Linked DNA regions of Bombyx mori. The protein of the gene in region 1 interacts with the protein of each later gene in a pairwise test. Links are inferred from orthologs where the notes say so. Each region holds a gene or a part of one and is shown in the gene's direction. Other genes may lie near its edges. The genes, in order: geranylgeranyltransferase type I beta subunit and protein farnesyltransferase/geranylgeranyltransferase type-1 subunit alpha.

Region 1 (4,470 bases):
TCTCCGTCTCCATCTAATGAGGCCAAAAATCTGCCGTGTTGAGCGCACCAAATGTCATTGTCACGTCAGTTCGGCCGTCTGTTTTGGGTTGTACATTAATTATTGACTTGGATATCGATTTAATATGATTGCTTATATAAAATTTCGTAATTTATCATGCTAAGAACATACAAAAATAATAATTAAAACGTTATTTATAGGATCTCAAGAAAGTCGATGCCCCAAAACTATTATCTATATATATTTAAATTCATTATGGAGCCCTCATCCGAAAAATCGGACACCATTTTTCGGTCGGAATCTATTGATCATGACACTAATCATAAATTCCTCTTTAAAATATGTCATCAAAACATATTTAGACATTCTGTTTAGATATTTCGGGAAAAAGGCTACCGACAAAATCTCTTCGGAACTATTTAAATAAAATAGTTTTATTCCGCAGTGAGTAAAACACTATTGTAAATTCGTTAAATATTTAATAATTAAGTTATTTTAGAGAGGAAGTCACAAGGAATGACGTTTTTAATAATGAATAAATGTTCTGTAGGTGTTTTTTTTTATCACGCGGTCCCTTGATAAGTTTAAAATTTGAATCACTCTCAAGTGAAAGTGATTCAAATGGTGCGGCGCACCTTCCTTGGGGTGCGCTGCGGTAGTGTGTTATGGACTTTAGAGTAAGCAAAACAATTAAAATAGATTGTAATAGTCTAAGAAAAACACGTACTCAAAATACGATAACATTTAGCATGCTAGAAATGGGCAGATGGCTTTGTACTACGCCATATCTTTATGTTTTGCGACAAACGACAACTTTATAAAATCAGTGTAGCAACTTTTAAAAATCATCATATCGTTTACTTGGCAAATTCGAAGGAGGAACTTGTCTTAGATTTCACCCATCTAAATCATATCATACTTGCACATAACAATATACCTACTTACTTCACATTAAAGTATAAATTCTACAAATAAATAATACTCAACAATATTTAAAATAAAATGAGCCAAGAACGTTTATCGATAAAACCTGATAGCATTGAAATCTTTTGTACAGCACTAAAACCGCCATGTTTTGGGGCCAGATGACGTCACAGTGGCACGAATTTTTGGTTGACGTTTCATTTCCATAGATTTCCTACTTCAGTGGTATCATTCAGTATCTCATATGGACTTTTTGGCGGGAAGGCGAGGAGTGAAGTTGTGTGATTTGTTTTATATTGTCTATTTAGTGTTTCTTCAGGTTTAAATGTGTAATAACGGTGGTTTATTAACTGTTTAATATCTGTGAAAGTGCACAAATGTGGGAAAATGAAACAAAGCCGCTGGACATAACTTCTCGGGATCCTCCAAACAGTCCACTGAAAAATCTCAGTAAATGACCACCATTTTTCTGAGATTATATTTCATCCCATATCATCTCGTCACTTAATTTCATCCCAGTTGATTAATGTCTCAAATTAATTATATTCATTGCATTTCACTCCATTTTATCATTTTTCATAAAAATAAGATTAAAAACTAAAATAAGACATGACTTAAAGGTCTTTGTAACCAGGTCATAAAATCCCTTAAAAAAAAAGTATCTCATATAGGCTTTGTTCCTTTTGCCAATTTATATAAAGAAAAAGTCAGTCATAGTCATAAATTAATTTTATATTCTGGTCGTCATAGTTTTGCCTGAGTTTCTCGGAAAACGACTGTACTGTATGCAGTTAAAGTCTAATTTTACTTTAAGCCTTTGTTGTTTAATTTCATTTGTTTTTATTTTCGACATTAAGCCATTGGAATAGTGATTATATTTGGATATTTAAGCAATTGTCATTGCTAGAATATGTCAGAGCAGTTGAGAGGTTGTGTGTCGGTTTACTTTTTGGATTTTTTGTCGTTTCTAAATTAAAGTTAAAAACAGTTCTACTAACTATTACAAATTATGAGATAAATTGTGTGCTTATTTTCTATATGTGAATCGAATTCATATTTATAAATAAGGATAAATTTTAATTAAAGTTACAATAATAAATTGTACTTAGAAGCCCAAAACATTAACGTACAATAATGAATAACGAAGGAAACAAGGATATGGCTCATCGTCAGCACGTAAAATATTTCATGAGATTTTTGAATATTTTGCCTTCGTCTCTATCATCACACGATACTACAAGGTAAGCTTTTAAAGTTGAAAAATTGAAAGTTGATTCCTGTGTTTTTAATTACCGAAATATTCACCTTGGCTGCAAAACTTTCACATTTCGAACGACTGATTACCGGTTTTATTTGAGCTTACTTATTTTCATTAGATCGTATCAAAAGAATATTCCTTAACATATATTACCACTCAAGATTTTATAAAATTCTTAGTGTAAATAAAAGCACAATATATAACAACAAAAAAAACACAATGTATGACTTCAACCAGAAAATTAGTAAATTAATTTTCAATTTCCATCCTCTAAATAAAAATTACTATCAACAATCCAATGTTTTTAATTGGAAATCAATTAAGCTTACCCCATTCAAATAGCTGAAGAAGTTTTTTGTTATGATATTTTTTTCCAAATTTTAAACTCACCTGTAGAGTTGCAAAAATATCACTTAACCCAAATTGCCTTTCACCTCTCGATATAATAATAGTTTATTTTATTTTGAGATAAAATTACATGGTAAAATAGCATACTGGAGCCATCCTTTTAACAGGAAAGACTGCTTGTGTCTCGAAACATATATATTTGATACAGTCTGGTACAATTATCAACACTGTAAAATCGGCACTGGATGTAGGATGTAACATGAGCCTGTAAGAATGTTTACCATCATGATTAGTTCAGCTGCCAAATAGTCATGGATTCTGGTTCAAACAGTTCTTCAGCTGTATTTAGCAAATATTTAGACTTCATGTCTCCAAATTACAGCATTTATGTGTCATGTTTACCAGAACTGAACTACATAACAACACTATTAATGTACTTAAACTTATTTCTGGACATGATTTCTTGCGTAGGAATTTTATTTTTAAAACAAGCTTACCTTTTATTGACCTCTGTTTCCATTGTTACCAGCTATCTGTTTATCATGTTTACATGTTATCTTAAATTAGGGTAGTGTAAAATAATAGTATATTTATATTATGAGTGAGTTTATATTATGAGCATATTTATAAATGGTCTATGTTAATGTGGCAACAATGGATCTGCAATGTCCATCACAAATGCTCTAATCCACCAGGTTCGCAGTATTTTCCAATCCCAACCATAGGCTAGATTTACTAACATTTTAAATAATACTTAAATAAATATATGAAATAAAATAAATATAAGCTTAAATAAAATATAAGCTTTATAAGTTAACAACTTTATGAGATTTCTATATTCTGAAATAAAAACCTACTATTATTGAAAATAATTATTTATTGAAAAGAAAATCTCTAATTTTGTTCCTTTTTTTTTCCATCTTTTATTTAGTTCCATCTTATTTATATTTCTGAATATGAATGATTGGTAGAAAATTGTGTTGAAAAATATTTTTTCTTCATTTCAGAGTTACAATAGCATATTTCTCTGTTGCCGGCCTGGATGTCTTAGGATCCATATCAGCAATATCTCTTGATCTGAGATCCAGGATTATTGAATGGTTGTATAGGCTTCAAGTACATCCTGATAAGGAAAGTAAGTGATTTATTCATTTTAATTTTCTAAAATCAATTCTAAAATTCATACAATTTATGACAAGTTTAGTGTTTTCAAGAAGTTTTATTGTACAACAGGATGCTTGAAGTGTTAGGTGAAACCTAAAAGTATTTATAATAAGGAGATTATGTCTTAATTTAATTTTGGTGCAGATGCAAAATTTTCTATAAATAAATCATGTATCAAATTGTACACAATCAAATTTTTCACATTTTTGTGTTAATATCTTTCAATGATTGCTTTGTTGAATTCATTGCCTTATATATAAATGAGGTTGTAACAGTAGGGGAGCAGTTCACTCCAAAAAAAATTGATTTAGAAAAAAGATTAGAAGAATAAGTCACACGAAAGTGGAACTAACACAAAAGGCGTCGTGGCCTAAAGGATAAGTCGTCCGGTTCATTCATATCGATCGATGTGAATGTGCCGGTGTTCGAATCCGGCAGGCAGGTACCAATTTTTTCGCGCGGATCGGCGTGGTTGGTAGTCGACTATCGCCTCGATGAACCATCGGTCAGGGGTGTCAGGGGTGGGACCGCGATTCTCGTTGTTGTGTTGACCGCAGGAACTCACCTACTCTGACCGGGTTCTGACCCCGGGCGGAGATTAGACGTCAGGTGTAAGAGTGCAAGGGGAGTCATTTGATGCGGTAGGATCCCAAAAATATCCTTGGGCCCGCGGTCTGCTCCCAACATCTGCATGCTGTCAAGACCCGCATACCCTGCTTGGGGCAACCCTAGGCGCGGATACCTCCTAAGAGGTTCGGCCCCCTACTCGAAAAACA
Region 2 (4,422 bases), on another chromosome or scaffold:
AAAGGATTTAAATAAAAGCTTCGTGTCGGAAAGCGTATTTTTGTGGTAGGTCCTTTGGGCTGGTACCTACAGATAAGCTATCGACAATACTTATTATACTACGTTGCACATAATTTTAAAATTCAAAACCCTTACCACTGGTGGATTCCTTCGTAAGCATCGATGCCTAGAGCTATTTGTTTAAAATAAATTTTTTGAAGCTTTTAAAAATATATTTGTGATAGTAATTATAATTTTCATTTGAAGCATAGACCTTGGTACCTATTTACGCTACTTTTTGACTCTCGACAAAGAACGACATTTATAGCAAATTTGCCAGTAATAGAAAACATAATATGTTTTGTCCAATAACTAAAAGTCGGCACATGATTGCACAAAACGAAGCCGCAACATTAAATGACTATTATTTTTATGTCTCTGAGTTCATGCCAACTTAGTCCATGGCACCTATCCGTTGAGCTTCTCGCTGGATCTTAGTGGATTTTGGTTCCCTGGTACATCCACATAAGTGGCTACAAATTACAAAAAAAGGTCACAGGCGGGCGCATCACGATGCTCAGCAATGAAAGATCGACTGAAAGAGGAGGAGGAGGAAATCCACTCATAAAGCAGCTGCCAACACAAAGCCCTCTGGTAGTTGTCAAGAAAACCTACACACTTGGCTGAGCCTTTGAGTTCGTTTCATCTTAGTGAAGCTGAAAAGAACTTCGGGCCACTAATCCCACAATGCAAGCAAGGCCAGAAATGGTATTATTGTGGTAAAATGTAAATAGATCTATAATTTAAAGAGCAGTGATGATGGCAAAATCTATAAAACGCCACCTATCATGGTTCCTAATTTGAAGCCTTTGCACCTATTTTGAACATTCCTCTATTTTGTGGATAGTAGCCGAAATATTTATCTGCATGGGACGACCAAAAATATTTATTCAAAAAGGGAATGAACAGGAAGTCACTTGATGAAAGCAACTTGGATTTTTGTGTAGCAACGTTTTTATAAAATAGCAGTTATGTATCCTCTGTTTTAAAATAAAAAAATCTTAATAAGCTTCATTAGACTTTCTTTTTCACTGAAGATTACTTTATCATCAACTTTGAAAACCAAAACCAATGTCCATTTTTTTTATTGCCCTTGTAGGCAGACGAGCATACGGCCCACCTGATCGTGAATGGTTACCGTCGCCCATGGATTAGCAATGCCAGGGGCAGAGAAAAGCCGCTGCCTACCGATACAGCTCTTTGGTTAATTTTACTGTAAGTGCGTCACATGATGAATTCTTAAGACAAAATTTTAATTTTGCGAGTTAAGCCTTAAACTATTGTAAATTGTTATTTCACTAATTAGCTAATGATTCTATTCTTTATGAACACTGTAATATCATGCATTTTGCGGATTCAGTATTTTTTAATAGTCGTTTAAGCTTTATGTTTAATAGACGGCGCATTTCAAATTTAGAAAAATAATATACTGAAACTTGCGTGTTCAGCGACAATACCTTGTATGTAAATGTAAAAATTATGTGTACTTAATGTAACCTATTACCTATGATGTAAATGTAAAAAAAATACCTAACTATTGATTGTTATTTGACATAGTCTGTGTAAATTGTAAAAAGTGTGGACACGTACGTAGGTATTTAAATGTAAACATAAGTCAAATGAATTCAATTTGTAAATACCTAGTCAATAAACAGGGCATTAGTTAAAATTACGTCAATAAATACTAAAGATACGCTTTCGTATTCATAATGTTTCTGGCCTAGATAACTGGTACACATGTTTACTCACGTAAAGCTGTGTTTGTCACGTTTGATAAGAGTACTACTATAAGTGAAAATTGAAGACCGTGAAGACAAGCTTCATTTGTTTAATTTTACGAATTCACTCAGCATGTCTGATTGCGGGGACAGTGATGTTTTATGGATACCATACAAAGAAAGGCCGGAGTGGAGTGATGTTACGCCTGTTCCAGAGGATGACGGTCCCAACCCAGTGGTAGTTATAGCTCATTCGGAAAAATGTATGTGTAATGCCTGTTTTTTTCATTATTATTTCGTAACAAACAAGTTCAAAGTATAAAAATGAATAAATGCATTCGAAGGTTATTGAGTCAGTAATAGTTGGCATGACATATGGTATTGAAAATTAATGCAATACACAAAGGCAAATACCTATTAAGTGAAAGGTTAAATAATTTATTTAAGTTTATTATACATGAATGTGATAGATATATGTATATTTCGCAAATATGAATGTATAGTTCCATCAGTTCCTGCAATTTTACCGATAGAGATCACTGTGTGACTAGTTAAAGAGTGGACAAGTTAGATAGCACTTGATATCGTCTCTTTATGTTAATGTCAACATTCTTTCCAATTTTACCAGTATTACTTGGCTTTCCAGCTTAATCAAAATTCAATTGATTGTTTGTTGTTGCTAAAACAGATTTAAGTTTTATGCATACAGATAAGTGTACATTACCAAGAGTATACAGAGTAGATCGATTAATTTAAAGTTCATTTGTGTATTAATACTTTTCAATTTTAGTTGAGGATGTGTATGATTACTTCCGAGCAGTTTTACAAAGTAATGAAAAGTCAGAACGAGTACTTCATCTTACCAAGGATGCTTTGGAATTAAATCCAGCTAACTACACTGTTTGGCAATACAGGTATTTATTTATCTTCATACATTAAGGTTAACCAATATAGTGTGATTTGCTTGTGGCACAGCAAATTATTTCATTGCTATTATGATACTGAATTACATGGTTAAAGTCCAATTGTTGAGAAGCATGATAGTTGAGTGACATGTGTATATGGTTTTCATACACTTAATAATACTTCTAAGAAAAGGTGACACCAAAAACATTAAGGTTGCAACAAAGGTAAGTTATGAGAGAATTTTCATTGTTCTTATGAAAAACTAAAAACGAATCAAAGCAGCAATTCTAAGAATATATATATATACTTACATATTATTACTATAAAATAGATAATATTCAGTATTGTATTACAATATTTGGAATGCAATATGGAATGAACTCCGCTCCATGGTGTTTTCCGAGTGCTATGACATGTCGTTTTTCAAACGAGGCTTGCGGAGAGCAATGGTAAGCAGCGGCTTGGCTCTCCCCCTGGCATTGCTGACGCCCGTGAGCGACAGTGATCACTTTCCACCAGGTGGGCCGTATGCTCGTCTGCCTACAAAGGCAATAAAAAAAGAAAACATATTTTTATCGTCAATTTTGAAAGAATTAAAAATTAAATTATAAGTTTGTTTTAAATATTTAATGGTTTCGTTACAATGCTGTTTCTCTTATTAATTCTATTTTGTTTACATTATTACTGTATTAACAAATAATCCTGCAAAGTTTAATCTTTATTCATAGTGAAAAATTTTATTCAGAGCCATTTAAAGGTTAATTAAATTAACTAAGTGCGGTGGCAAGTTTTAGTTACAACATAAAGTAATAATACATGATATTTTGTTTTACAGGAGAGATTTGCTGAAACATTTGAACACTGACTTGAGGACAGAATTAGATTATGTTGAAGCGGTTATAAAGAATTCACCAAAGAATTATCAGGTATAATTATTATTAATTTTAATGACTAGTGAAAGATCACACATTTTTACATAATAAATAAAATAATCACCGTAGAAAACTGTTTTTTATAGAACAAGATGTGTGCTTGTGCTCATGACATACCTGGTATTAAATCTGCGCCAAAAACTGAAAGATGAATAAAATGCTAAGAAGCTTAGCTATCTGTGACATATTGCATATTGTCTAAAAAAGTATATTTCGCTGTTACATAAGCACAGAAAAATAGATGTTATTGCTTAATGTGAAATGTTAATACATGTGCTTTTGGCTACCTTATTTAACAATTATATTAATGATTGTAGGCTTTCATTGTTGGAAGTAAAGGTTTAAATGATTACTAAATCATATTAATGCAATGGAGTATTTGCAAGTCAGATATTACGAATATTTCTATAGAGATTGTTTAATTATTCCATCTGTTAATTTTTGTATGCATATTATATGTACAGTATCACACATATAATATTTTTACAAGTTTGCTGCAAAAACTAATTGTAATATCTTAACATGTGTGAAAGATTAGCATACAATTTTTCATGGCTAACATTTTCATGGTTCAATTTTTCATTTTCCATGGTTGACATGGCTTTCAGGTATGGCACCACCGTAGGGTTTTGGTAGAATGGCTGCAAGATCCCACAATGGAACTTGAATTGACAGGCGATGCACTTCTACAAGATCCAAAGAACTATCATGCTTGGCAACATAGGCAATGGGCTATCAAAACATTTGGGTGAGTTGGTGAAATTCTTAACAAACAATATATATTTTTCATTATATACATGGCTATGGTATGGTTAGTTCACTCCAAT

Evidence for each region.
Region 2: the proteins of geranylgeranyltransferase type I beta subunit (region 1) and protein farnesyltransferase/geranylgeranyltransferase type-1 subunit alpha interact in binary tests that used the Homo sapiens proteins (3 or more experiments, as listed by UniProt). The link is inferred for Bombyx mori from reciprocal best matches to the Homo sapiens genes PGGT1B and FNTA.

What each region holds. Positions count from the first base shown.
Region 1 is NC_085127.1:5,040,448-5,044,917, forward strand, and holds the start of geranylgeranyltransferase type I beta subunit, read left to right. Parts: upstream 1-1,601; 5' UTR 1,602-2,058; coding exon 2,059-2,165; intron 2,166-3,537; coding exon 3,538-3,665; intron 3,666-4,470. UniProt on the Homo sapiens protein: Catalyzes the transfer of a geranyl-geranyl moiety from geranyl-geranyl pyrophosphate to a cysteine at the fourth position from the C-terminus of proteins having the C-terminal sequence Cys-aliphatic-aliphatic-X.
Region 2 is NC_085129.1:8,199,003-8,203,424, reverse strand, and holds the start of protein farnesyltransferase/geranylgeranyltransferase type-1 subunit alpha, read left to right. Parts: upstream 1-1,359; 5' UTR 1,360-1,890; coding exon 1,891-2,020; intron 2,021-2,547; coding exon 2,548-2,671; intron 2,672-3,498; coding exon 3,499-3,589; intron 3,590-4,203; coding exon 4,204-4,343; intron 4,344-4,422. UniProt on the Homo sapiens protein: Essential subunit of both the farnesyltransferase and the geranylgeranyltransferase complex.